Saccharomyces cerevisiae S288C: one gene and its partner. Changing the gene in region 1 together with any one later gene gives a genetic interaction. Each region holds a gene or a part of one and is shown on either strand. Other genes may lie near its edges. The genes, in order: ECM5 and SNT2.

Region 1 (6,708 bases):
CTCCTTCCTTACTAGTAATGCTGGACGTACTTGTGAAAGAACGATCTTTATACAGGGCCTTTTTACGCAGATTCTTAACATTGTCAAAAATGCGAAAAAGAAAGCGATGTTTGTGTGATGCAATAATATATAAATCAATAAATTTAAACTCTCAGTTATTTAGCGTAAATGAACAAAACCACAAAAAAGAGCTCTAAGTCGAAGTTGCCAAAAGTCTTAGGGTTCCTATAGATGGTCAATTACTTGAAGTTGTCATGGAAATGAGCTTTTTTTATTTTTTTCATACCTCTCGAGAAAAATTGCCTTGGCGCGTTCCTCCTACGAAGGAAAGCAGAAGAACAATTGTTACGTAAGGAAAGCTATCAAGAAACGGTAAACACTTACTAATAAACATCAATATTGACAGCAAAACGCGCTTTTCCACCTTCGAAAGGAGCTCTCCTAGATTCTGGGGTGTCTTTTTTTACCGGGATTATGCTGGATGGGAAACACCCAATACTGGAGTGTCAACAATAGGTAACTACTGCCAACCATAGAAAACGTCGTAGAACATCTGAGTATGAGTAAACGAGGTATGCGCAATAAAAGAAGAGAGAATATGTCATGCAGACTTCGCAGGTACATTTTAGATAAGTAAATAGTGATTTTAATCAATAAGATAGTATTACGTTTCAATTTGGAATTCCTGTGATTATGATTCTTCCATTATCTGTGAGCCATTTAATTGCTTCTGCATCTTTCACCTGACAATGTTTCCTTAAGGGATCCGTCAGATTAGTAAAGCCGCATTGTGACCCTTTTAACTTTCTCAAGTAATACTTGATCTTGTGCGTAGAGGACAATTGATTTACATAACCGTTAGTAAATAGTTCTTTTTCCATTTCATTTTTGAAGTTCAAAGCAAACGCAAAAACGTCAAAGAGATTCTTCAAGATAGGGGGATCTGGAATTAAACTTAGCTTCAAAGATTCTACTAAGATCCTCTTCAAGTCGTCAAGCTCAAAAGTCACACCTTCGATATTGTCAACGGCCATACAGGGTGGTGTACATATCGAGCAAACAAATAAAACGTTTGGATCATCAGGTGGAACCAACTCACCGTTGCTAATACAATCCACATGATACCACTCCTTGCATATTTCACATTCGACCATTGCAGTACCTTCTTCAACCCTTCTACAAAAGCAATATTTCGTTTGGCGCTTAGAACAACTTTCCAAAGGAATGTATTTGTCTGACTTCAAATCTAAACATCTAAAAATCGACGGCAGTATCTCAATAAATTTATTTTTTTGCATTATTTGATCCAAGTGCTGGTTCCATAATTTGAAAACTTTTAACTCCTGTTTGGCTTTCACTGATCCTGAATTATCACTGGCCAGCGGTCTCTTATCTAATCTCGAACCATTAAACTGGTTCGCAAACTTCACAAATTTAGGATCATTTTTCCTGATGAGTTCGTCTATTTTATCAATATTATCAGTGTTATAAAGAATATTCACATCGTTCATTTTTTTTGCATTTTCAATTTCTCTAATAACATAATCAAGCTCACTGAAAAAACTACTTTGTATGGGTAACCGATATTCTTCTATATCTAATAAAACGTCTTCTAAATCACTTAGCGATATTTTTGAGGGTGGATCCTTTTTTAGAAAAACTCGAACTTTCTGCATCATGTCCTGATATTTTAAAATCAGCTTTCTCACTTCCCCTAACTTATCTATATCTTCCGAATCACAATATTTCAAACCAAATTCGAAGTAAGAATATAACAGTGGAAGTGAATATTTCGCAGGGTCTTCATTCTTAATATCACATCGCTCAATGAATATATGTTCATAAACGGATAACCATTCAAGCCTACATATTTTTCTGGTCAACTTAGTCCAATAAGAAACCTTCAACGGGATGGTTAACGATTTCTGATATAATTCCTTAAGCAAATCTAGATTATTGCCATCAATAATATCTCTATTATCGATAGGAAACTGCCGAGATACGTGATACAGTCTGATAATTGTCGGCTTTTCTGAAAATTCAATTGAGCACTTCCGCACACTTTCATACAAGCTCTCCAAATTATCAGCCATGTTGTCAGAAAACTTAAGCGGTAGATGACGTAAATTGAAACCGTTTCCGAAATCTACATCTTTAACAGAACAGGAAACATCCACGAAGGTCTTAATAAACTTTTTACATTTCTCAATAAGTAGTAATGAATCATCAAAATTGGAGCGTAACATTCGATTAAACTCAGTATTACTATCAGTATGAGAGATCAAATACTGTATTATATTTAATGGCACAGTTCTATTTCTAAAAGTAGAAGTCATTAACACGTCCCACTTTTTTTCAAAATCTTCATTGTGAACAAGCAGATAAGAAGTCGGAGGCTTGTCCAAGCCATCGAGAGCAATTCCTAGGCTTGCGCTATCAAAGTATGAGTGCAAACAAACATTGAGATTACCAGATTGATCACGTATTGGGATGCCACATATACTATGAGCACCGTTTTCTGGTTTTTCTAGCAATACCACGAATTCCTTCAGAGATAAATTACGTTGCAATGCACCGTGTGTAACAACGATTTTTGAAAGACCAGTTGACTCTAAACTAATATCTGAAATATAATTCAATTTATTATAAACGACATCTACAGTGCCAATCAACTCCCCTAATTTTTTGCTGTTTTCCGCTTCCTCAACGACGTAGTTACTTATTAAATCACGGCATTTTTTCCTTAAAACTGGGTTATTGGAGTTTAGTAGGGCATTGATAAGTAATTGATTTACATCTAAACCGGGAAGAAACCCCATCTTAGATGTCCATTTTGCTGCCTCGGAACTGAATCTCAACCAGGAGCTTGGCGCAAATTTTGCATTCTGTGATAGATAGAAACCTGATCCAATAGAACATGTGAAGGCTTTCGGAAACTTAAAAATGTATGAGCCCTGCTCCTGTGTCGTCTTATAAAGTTTTATGCCATTGGCTAAGATGAAATTAGGCTCAAATATGAAGTCGCTTTGTGAACCATCATGTAGAGTGTTTCCTGCTATCTTATCTTCTGGAAATGAATTTTTTGAATTATCTCCAGTGTTTGAATAGTCAGCAGATTGTTCTGCATCCAAAAATGACTTGTAGAAATCTGTTTCTATAAAGCTCTTTAATTCGTCATCGGAGGTGGAGTAGCGCGGCCTTGATTGGATAGTATCCCATTCACTTTTTCCTCGAGCAATTAAAGCTTCGAATTTTTCCATATCTTTCGGCGCAATACTGTACACCAACTTGGTAGAACCTAAATGATTGAAATCAATTGAAGGTAAAAAATGATCCGAAACAGACCAACCTTGACAAGAAAACAACATTCCAATATCATAAGTGGTTCTCGTAAAATTGGCCATATCCAGATCAAGGTGTTGTAAAAGCGATAGTTCATTGAGAGGAATGTTGTCTAAATTCCACTGGTCTAGAATATTCTTAATGGCAAACTTTTCATTGGACGAGTTGTTTCCTGGTGATCTCATGGAACAGGGTAGTCCAAGACCGGTGTCAATTTCGAAATCTATAAAGTGCTCCGATAGCAAATGAAAGTATAACCTCTCGAATTCCTTTTGAGGTAATGTTGTGTGTTTCGCAAACAAATCAGGATAGCTACTCCCAAATTTCGCTACAATAGCAGTGAAAACAGCCAGACTTTTTTCGTAATACTGTCTCAAATTGTATACTGGAGAGGTTTTGGTTTCGTATTTGCTTTTATCGTATATTTCCATACCATTCTCCCAAAAAGTAAAATCATAGCCCGGTAATGTGGTCTCTGTTGACTGTGTATAGCCTAGTTTAAACTCAGTTAACGAGTTAAAATAAGTCGGAAACCCTTTTATGTGCTTTATGTCCCGCATTCTTTTAAATTCATGATTAATCGATCCGGCTCTAAAGACATCGCGGTGTATTTTAGCTTTTTTATGAAGTGGCTCCTCTTCGTCCCTACTTCTGCTATTTGAGTGACGAAATATTTCAGATTCCACCATGTCTTCATTTTTTTCGTTATTACGAGCAGCTTGCTCTTCTTCTTCATATATGTCAAAGTCTAATAAAATTTTTGCATAGGCAGATCTTAAAGAAGTTGATAACGAACTCATAATCCTGCCCGAGTAACCTAATTCTCTTCCAATTTGCGCCCATAATTTTTTTTCGCAAACAGCATTGAAGCCTCCCCTCAACTTCACACAACTCCTCAGTCTATATAAATCCAAGGTGCGTTTATCGATACTTGGGATCCTTGTGAGAGTACTCTTTTTGATTTTATTGTGAAAATTATACAACTTCGCATAAAAATCAACTATCTTGGTTCTTTGAAATTCATTCGAATTGAAAAATTGTTTTCTTGCTTTAAACCAGAGGCGATCTACATCAACATTTAGTTGAGTAAATTTGTCAGCATCTGGTATAATTTTCAACTTAACACATCCATAAACTGACCCTAAGTCTTCCACTAACTCATAAAATTTTATGGGGTCCGGGAGTTCTTTTTTGGCTAAAATAAATGTTGGAATAGAGTGTGGAGATATTTGATAAAATAAACCCGTCTTTTCATGAAACACTCTTGCGGGTACACCCTCCGGTAGCTCAACTAAATCTACAGATTTTATTGTTTCAGGTGCAAACGGTGCTGCACCACGAGATTTAAATTGCGTATAGAGAAATGGGCTAAAATTATGATTTGAAGTAGGAATTACAGCACTCCGCGGCGATTCCCATTGTTTAATCGAAGGTCGCTCCTGTATCTCTAATTCGATGTCTGCAATTTTAGAGCTTTCATGGAACCCGTTTTGTACCATTACCTTTTCGTTAACCGGTTCATTCAGGATATGAGATATTTTTGTAACAGAATCATGCCCACTCATTATAACTATGGAGATGGACGTACGAACAAGAACATACACGATAATCTAGAATTTGGAACAAAAAGCGAAGTTATTCAATATTATTTTCCTCCGAAGCGCTACACCTCCAGCGCCCTTGAGCTTAAAACAACCTTTATCTTCCACGCTGATGTAAAGTGTAGTTCTTATTTTAAGTGATGATGTTCACGAACTATGCTCGGCCACCGTTCACACATGCCGAAGATTTGAGTGTCACATCAACAGGCTTTCGGACGACTGAATACCAACAGCATCAAGCTGATTTGGCATCATTGTATGCATCATACAAACGTAATAAAGCACGGATGGAAGTCTTAGATATGACTTATATATATTCGTAGAAGAAAATTCGCTAAAATAAGCACTTATTGATTTTGAGTATAAAGAACATAAACATAAACAATTCATAAATAAACCATTAAAAAAATAAAAGGACTTGGTTAATTGCGCCCAAAAAAACGTAACATTATTTTTTCATGTTTTCGTAAGTCTTCCAATCGTTCGCAATTCCTCTGCCAGCGTTCATCTTTGTTCCAGATTGATCATGGCCCATCTTCATTCCCCCTTCGGACTGATCATGACCCATACCCATGTCCATGTTCATATCATCCCTTTCCTTGTTGGAGGATTTGGCGTTCTTTCCCTTCTGATGGGAATCATCGTTACCTTGTAATTTTTCAGCGAACTTATTCATCATGTTAGACATCTTGACTATACTTTTTTATATACCTTTCTACTAAAGTAAAGAGCACAGATACAAAGATTAAAAATGCCTAGGGACAAAACTTTGGGGCAGAATTGGGAGCTTTATATATGTTTGTGATGTTGATTCTGAGGGATGATAATTGCCCTCTCAGTCCCATCATTCTTTACACCTCGTACTGTATTCATGATCATCTATCCATTTTACATACCGCTCCCTTTAAGATACGTTTATTCGTAACTCCCATTTACCAATCACTATGAGCCGTCCACGTTTCCAAAAAAACCTAAACATATGATGCAAACCTCCAATGAGACTCAACGTAACATGCAAGTAAATACAGAAGGTTAAGAGATAGTTGTCTTAAAGGGGTACCGAAAGCATTTAGGGGAGGCTTAAGGGAGGGTGCCGATCCTATGAAGTATTAATACGTAATGCCAAAAGGAATTGTTGAACATCTGAAGTGGATAGATTAATCGTACAGTAATCGTACAGTACTATGTCTTACTGATGTCGGGAATCTCAGGGGCGACCGCCCCCGGCTAGAATTATCTATATAACGGTAAAAAGAATAAAACTCTATTCTAGTTCTCGCCATTTACCTTGACTTTAATGAACCAATAAAAGAAATTTCTACAACCAAGACATCCAGAATGAATACAGACCAACAAAAAGTGAGCGAAATATTTCAGAGCTCAAAGGAAAAATTGCAGGGCGATGCAAAGGTAGTGAGTGACGCTTTTAAGAAAATGGCTAGTCAAGACAAGGACGGCAAGACTACCGATGCTGATGAAAGTGAAAAACACAACTATCAAGAGCAATACAACAAGCTCAAAGGGGCGGGGCATAAGAAGGAGTAGCTCTGTTGTCCTACTATCGATTATTTGTGCCAGCGGGCTCTGTTAGGTTGAGGGTGGAAAGTGTAGAAAAAGCAGACCTATTTGCCAGCGGATACATAGCCACAGCTCATACATAAAATTTTCATACTTAAGTCTAAACACAATAATATATTTTTTTTATCGAAGACATCCAAAAACTTAGTAATCGTCGTCACCACCGTATTGATTACGACCGCCTCTA
Region 2 (6,650 bases), on another chromosome or scaffold:
TCTTAATAGAATACAAGAATTAGAAGATCAGAGAGATGAACTCTTGGAACAGAAAAAATCCATAATAAATTCGCAGAGGCCAGGCGCGAGGATTTTAGCCCGTTCAGAAAGGAAAAGAACCAAAATCTCCCGTGGTAATAAGGTGAATAAGCAGATTGAAATATTGACTGACTTAGTCAATTATAGACATTTTAAAGCTATGGAAGATGTGATAGCTTGGAAAAACGTTTTAGCAAATTCGATATGGGGTTCCTCACTTCGCAAAAATGCATCTGGTAATAAAAGGAGTGGTGTCATTGAAACAGTAGACGATAAATTAAAAGATATAGTGGGCCAAACCTCAAGAACAGTAACACCTGCCCCAAATTAATATATAAAAAACTTCCTTTGTAACTGATGGTAAATTGTAGTATTCATAAATAGGATAAGATTATTCATTGTAAGCATAATGGAAAAAAATAACACAACAAAGCCGCGCAAGATTGGACCATACTTTCTATCTAAGGTAACTATCACTTACTGGCTTGATGGATGCGTATTTTTGTCGGTACCAGCTTCTGAAATATCGATATCAAACATAGCTGGCTCAATTCCTTCCATCAATTGCTGGGTAATTTCGACTGGTAAACCGTTATCGTTAGAGATATTAGCAGATGCGCTATCAAAATCGAGTTCTTGGGCACCTGATCTCAAATTGCAAGAATGGCAAATAATATCTTCATACCAGTATAAACTTTTGTTTGTACCACAATGTGGGCAAGTCCTTTCGAAAGGAAGTACGTAAATTTTGGGTTTAATAGCAGAGTCGTGTGAGTTTCCTGGCATTTCGCCGTGTCGCAGTCTAAGCTGTTCAAAATATCTCAACTCCACTAGACTATGGTCAGATTCGCACTTATAATATCTGCAGTATTGTTCTATGTATGACAGAGTATGTTGAGGCTTGTACGATAATGGATAAAGTTCGTTTCCTTCTAAGCTGATATCGTGTCTATCGCATATTAGTATAGGTCTCAAAGTGTATGTATCGTTAAGCTTGACATCCTTTATGCACGGTAGAGTGGTGTCTACAGACATATTTTTCTTTTCAAACATAAGCTTAAAATTGGAGCTGTTCTGTGCACATGTAATATGATACCTATATTGGCATTTGTTACACTTCACTAACCCACCTCCATTTATCCTGCACACACCACATGTAAATCTACTATGTTTAATAAGCACAGCAGTGGTATTAAGGGCAGGTTGCATTGATTGTCCGTTTCCATATTTGATATCTTCATTGAAAAGTGAGCAAACCAAATGCACCCATGTCCCTAAGCTCGTGCATTTCAATGCGTCTGGACATATTTTAAATGATTGGCTCCTATATCTATCATAGTCATAGTCCTTCGTAGGACACATACTACATTGGTAGGTCGTTGATATTATAGGATTGAGGTCATTTGAACAAGGGTCACATAACCATTTAAATGTCTTAAGGTTAGTGTTTTTCTTCATATCTTTCGGCAGTTTAATAGCATAACAGAAGTAGTGTACTGTAAGTCCACAATTACCACATACTACCTCATAGTTGTCATTGTCGTTAAATTTTTCTTTGCAGACACTACAAAAAGTCCTTGCGCTATTATTTGCCCATGCTGTATCAGGATTTTTTGGTTTATTCTTAGTGTGTTTCAAAATCATGTCTTTCTCTAACATTTTGCTCGGTTTATTACCATCATGGTATTTTTCAAGGGCGACAGAAGTTTCCTTAGAATGTGAAATAACTGTATAATTGTACGATGCCCCGTTTGGTTCGTTTAACGGATTACTTAACGCTATGTCATTGATCATTTTGATCTTCTTCGTTGAAGGTTCATTATATTTTGGCAGCTTATTATTCACTAACTTTAAGCTATTCCGTAATCGCTGAAATGTTTTGTTATCAAATTTGACAAATTTAAAACCTTTATCTACAGACACTGAACCAGAAGAACTGCCGCCTGTTTTAATTGAAATTTCTATCAAATCATTCGAAGCATTAGTGATTTTAGGAATATTGTTATTACTAGCCTTCTCGATAAATACATCGTTGCACTTGCGATTTCGGCTTGTATCACTTGTTTTGATAGTACCAGGTGATTGTCGAATTATGTTCACGGGAAATTCGTCCTTTGTGTTTTTCGCTCTTTCTGGCTTTTGTTCAGGGATGGCTTTTCTTACCTCTTTGTTGTCCTCTATAAATAGCTCAAGATCTCGTTGCATCGTCTCCGGGTGAAACTCATTCTTTCGATATGATCTCACAGCCATTTTGTAGAGTTGCGTGTGGAATGTCATGGAATACCGCTTCATTTTCACAAATGAATTTGGGTTCTTGTAAACTTTCATTCTTTGCCTGATAATTAGCTCTGAATCCTGAACAAGTTCCCATTCTAGTAGTTTATTATGAGCTTGAAAGGGAGATAACGTAAACTTGTTTGTGTTATTCTCCTCTATAATCCCTTCTATCGCTGAATAAAAACTATTCTGACAGGTTCCCGTTATTTTTCTCAATGTTTCAAGCGGTGGTACCCACTTAATTGCGTATCTTCGCCACATACGAGCACAACGAATGCAAAGAGCGCCAAGTTTTTCATTCTTTTTGCTATGGGCAGGCGATTTCTCTGAAATTTCTGTTTTTTCGTTGACTCCTGTCTGCATTCTTATCTTGATCTTTTCATCATCTGAACCTCCAGTAACTCTATACCACATCGGGGAGTAATCTGTTTTACAAAACATGCATTGGAAGGAGGATTCTGCTAAAGAGAGTTTCTCAGTATCAAAAGAAGAATCATCTATATACTTTGTCTCTACGTCATTTTCATGATTAGCGATTTCTTTTTTTCTTTTATTCTTTGATAACTTACTCAATTTCCCTCTCACGGTAAGGCCTCTTTCAGTCTTTTTCCAATTGTAATAAAATCTAACAATCATCGACATAGGTTGAGTGCCCACATACTCACACACTGGGCGTAATTCACTCCCAAATTTCTCGACAGCTTCCTCAAACTTTCGGATCTCCACGGCGGTAAAACTTGGCTCTTTCAAAAATTTTCTGGAAAGCTCCCTTTTACATTTTTTAAATGCCTCTGCTGTATCATAATTTGTAAATAATAAATTCTTTAGGACTACATCAATGAAATTACAAGTCTCACCTCTCACATTGAGAATAGGGCATATTTCGCTTTTGCATTGTTCAATATATTCACTCAATTTTCGAGTAGTAATTTTTGATGCATCAAGTACCCATGCTAGTTCCGAAGTTTTCGTTGAGCCTCGCTCTTCTTCTGAATTTGCACTTATATACGAGTTCCGCCTCCAGGGCACATTATGATTACATCCGTTCCATTGATACTTCACTCCTACCCTAGAGGGTTTGAAAGGATATGGAAAAAACATAGAATCATTTAATGCGTCACCAATATGAGAAATGGAATATATTCCTAAGTATTGAAACCAGCAATTTTCGGTATTATAACCAACATTCTCTTTGATAGCTTTGCTAGAAATTTCTTCAATTTTTTGTCTTACAGAGCGAATAAAATCCAGTTCCAGTGCTTGTTCTTCTAGAAACCTAACATGCGAGTCCTTAGTACCTTGTTGTTTCTGTAAGCAACTGAAGCAGGTCCAAACGACGTCTTTGTTCGGCTTCCTGTCAAGTGGCGGATCCATACAGTATAGATGTGCACAAACGCCGCATTCATCACATGAAAGGCTCTCCTTTTGGATACACCATTCTTTACAGAACTGACATCTTTTATCCCATTGGTAGTCTGCAGGACTTAATTCGTTTACCTCTAGTTCATGGAAAACGTATTTCTTCAAAACGTTCTCCAATGGATACTTCGGTTCTGTATAGATATAACGAAATCTCCTATTCAAAACATAAAGAAATGGCGACTTACTGTTCCATTTATTTAATATTTTATCCGTGCTGTAAACTTTGTAATATTTCAAAGTATATCTGTCAAAAAGTTCATCAAAGTAAAAGATATTGGGTCGTATAATGCATTCCTTCTCATTAGGAAGAACATCAAAAACTTCGTCTTTATGAAATATACTACATTTTCCCCTGTATGATGAAATAGGACATATGTCCTGGTGTAATGATGCATACACCAACCTTGGGTTAAAAGTATTTACGTGCTCTTGAATATCCCTAGGACGATAAAACCAATTCATTCTAACTTGAAAAAATTTAGCAGGGAAGACCGATGTTGTCTTTATAGCTTCATGAATAGTGTTAGAAAATTCTGGTTTACTAACAAAATTTACAACTCTGCCAACATAATAAGGCTCGCCAGCAGGCTCTGATATCATATAAATAGTGTCGTTCGCAGATAAAAGGACAGATTCTGTATTGAAAAGAGACATCTTTTTCAAGTCAATCATGGCATCATCTAGATCAAGTATGTTAGAGAATCTGCTATTCTTTCTGAACGAAGGGGGTAATGTAGGGATAAAGTTCCAGCAAGTATTCTTATCATGAAGGAATTTTTGGTACTTGAATTTCTCGTTTCTACTAGCTGGATTGCTTGTCCTTTTACAATTCCTGGGAGTTTGGCTATTGCTACCCTTGGTCTTAGCACCACTTTTTTCCGCTATTTGTATTTGTTGAACTAATTTAGTATCTATTTCCATTTCATTATAATTCACGTTTTTAGCAGCCTCTCTTCTTCTAGGTAATTGGAAATCTTCTTCTTTAGGCATAGCGTGACCAGCTGAAAGGCAGATGATCTCAATATGTCCCGATAGGCCAATTTTGCCACCAGATAGTTCGATGGCATTTTATTTTTAGTCCTTTTGAAAGCAATATCATAAAATATATATAGTTCTCCATGATGTTCGGGTCAGTCGCTCCGAAGCGTAACCTAGTATAATAAATAGTTCATTGCAGAAAATAACGAAAGAAATGGTGGAATACGATCTGTTATATCTAAACTAAAGCTAACTAACGGAATAAGCAAATACGAATCGACCGCTAATTTAACAAATATGGTTTTAGCAATGGAAAGTAGAGTGGCACCGGAAATTCCTGGGCTCATTCAACCTGGGAATGTCACGCAAGACTTGAAGATGATGGTCTGTAAATTATTGAATTCCCCAAAACCTACGAAAACATTCCCTGGTTCCCAGCCTGTGTCCTTTCAGCATTCTGATGTGGAAGAGAAGCTGCTTGCGCATGATTACTACGTTTGTGAGAAAACAGATGGTCTGCGGGTGTTGATGTTTATAGTGATAAATCCTGTGACGGGTGAGCAAGGATGCTTTATGATTGATAGGGAAAATAACTATTATCTGGTTAATGGATTTAGGTTTCCCAGATTACCCCAAAAGAAGAAAGAAGAGCTGCTAGAGACTCTTCAAGATGGCACCTTATTAGATGGTGAACTTGTCATACAAACTAACCCAATGACAAAATTACAAGAGTTGCGTTATTTAATGTTCGATTGTCTTGCTATCAATGGTAGATGTCTCACACAATCACCAACAAGTTCTAGACTAGCCCACCTTGGAAAAGAATTTTTTAAACCATACTTCGATTTAAGAGCAGCGTACCCTAATCGTTGTACTACTTTTCCGTTCAAAATTTCCATGAAACATATGGATTTCAGTTACCAATTAGTAAAAGTTGCTAAAAGTTTAGATAAACTACCACATCTTTCTGATGGTCTGATATTTACTCCTGTGAAGGCACCTTACACTGCCGGCGGAAAAGATTCATTGTTATTAAAATGGAAGCCAGAACAAGAAAACACCGTGGACTTCAAATTGATTTTAGATATCCCAATGGTGGAGGATCCTTCTTTGCCTAAAGATGATCGGAACAGGTGGTATTACAATTATGACGTTAAGCCAGTTTTCAGCTTATATGTCTGGCAAGGCGGAGCTGATGTCAATTCACGTTTAAAACATTTCGACCAGCCTTTCGATAGGAAGGAATTTGAAATATTAGAAAGAACATACAGAAAATTTGCAGAGTTGAGCGTTTCAGATGAGGAATGGCAAAATTTGAAGAACCTAGAACAGCCATTAAATGGTAGAATAGTAGAGTGCGCAAAAAACCAAGAGACTGGGGCGTGGGAAATGTTAAGATTCAGGGATGATAAGTTAAATGGTAATCATACATCGGTGGTCCAGAAAGTTTTGGAGAGTATCAACGATTCAGTTTCATTGGAGGACCTCGAGGAAATTGTTGGTGATATTAAAAGGTGCTGGGACGAGAGAAGAGCAAATATGGCTGGTGGTAGTGGGAGACCACTACCGTCTCAAAGTCAAAATGCGACATTATCTACCTCTAAGCCAGTCCATTCACAGCCCCCAAGTAATGATAAGGAGCCAAAATATGTAGACGAGGATGATTGGTCGGATTAGGCTAAGAAGTGTTCGTATCGACATATATCGGTGTAAGAATTTTGTGTATGAATAAGATAGAAAAGCAAAAGCAATTGCTTTTGCTAAATTAATTCAGTTAGTTATCTATTTATATGTACATGAGAAATGGGAGAATTTTGAGAAGCGAGGGTGAAAGTGTTATATACGCATATACATGTATATATATGCGCATGCTTATCACCTATGGGAAAGGACTAAACTTTTCAATAATTCTCTTGGGTTACCGTTACCACTTA

The links.
Region 2: of ECM5 (region 1) and SNT2, a mutation in one rescues a mutant of the other (synthetic rescue), as found in Saccharomyces cerevisiae (one study listed by BioGRID).

Annotation. Positions count from the first base shown.
Region 1 is NC_001145.3:609,939-616,646, reverse strand, and holds ECM5 (Ecm5p), read right to left. Parts: upstream 4,908-6,708; coding exon 672-4,907; downstream 1-671. Other genes in the region: MMT1 (Mmt1p), read right to left, coding at 1-81; YMR175W-A (uncharacterized protein), read right to left, coding at 5,139-5,333; SIP18 (Sip18p), read right to left, coding at 5,392-5,631; PAI3 (Pai3p), read left to right, coding at 6,282-6,488; DDR48 (DNA damage-responsive protein 48), read right to left, coding at 6,666-6,708. UniProt on the Saccharomyces cerevisiae protein: May be involved in cell wall organization and biogenesis.
Region 2 is NC_001139.9:261,132-267,781, forward strand, and holds SNT2 (DNA-binding E3 ubiquitin-protein ligase SNT2), read right to left. Parts: upstream 4,729-6,650; coding exon 517-4,728; downstream 1-516. Other genes in the region: ITC1 (Itc1p), read left to right, coding at 1-370; CEG1 (mRNA guanylyltransferase), read left to right, coding at 5,014-6,393; mitochondrial 37S ribosomal protein mS29 RSM23, read right to left, coding at 6,592-6,650. UniProt on the Saccharomyces cerevisiae protein: Transcriptional regulator that, together with ECM5, recruits histone deacetylase RPD3 to a small number of promoters of stress-response genes in response to oxidative stress.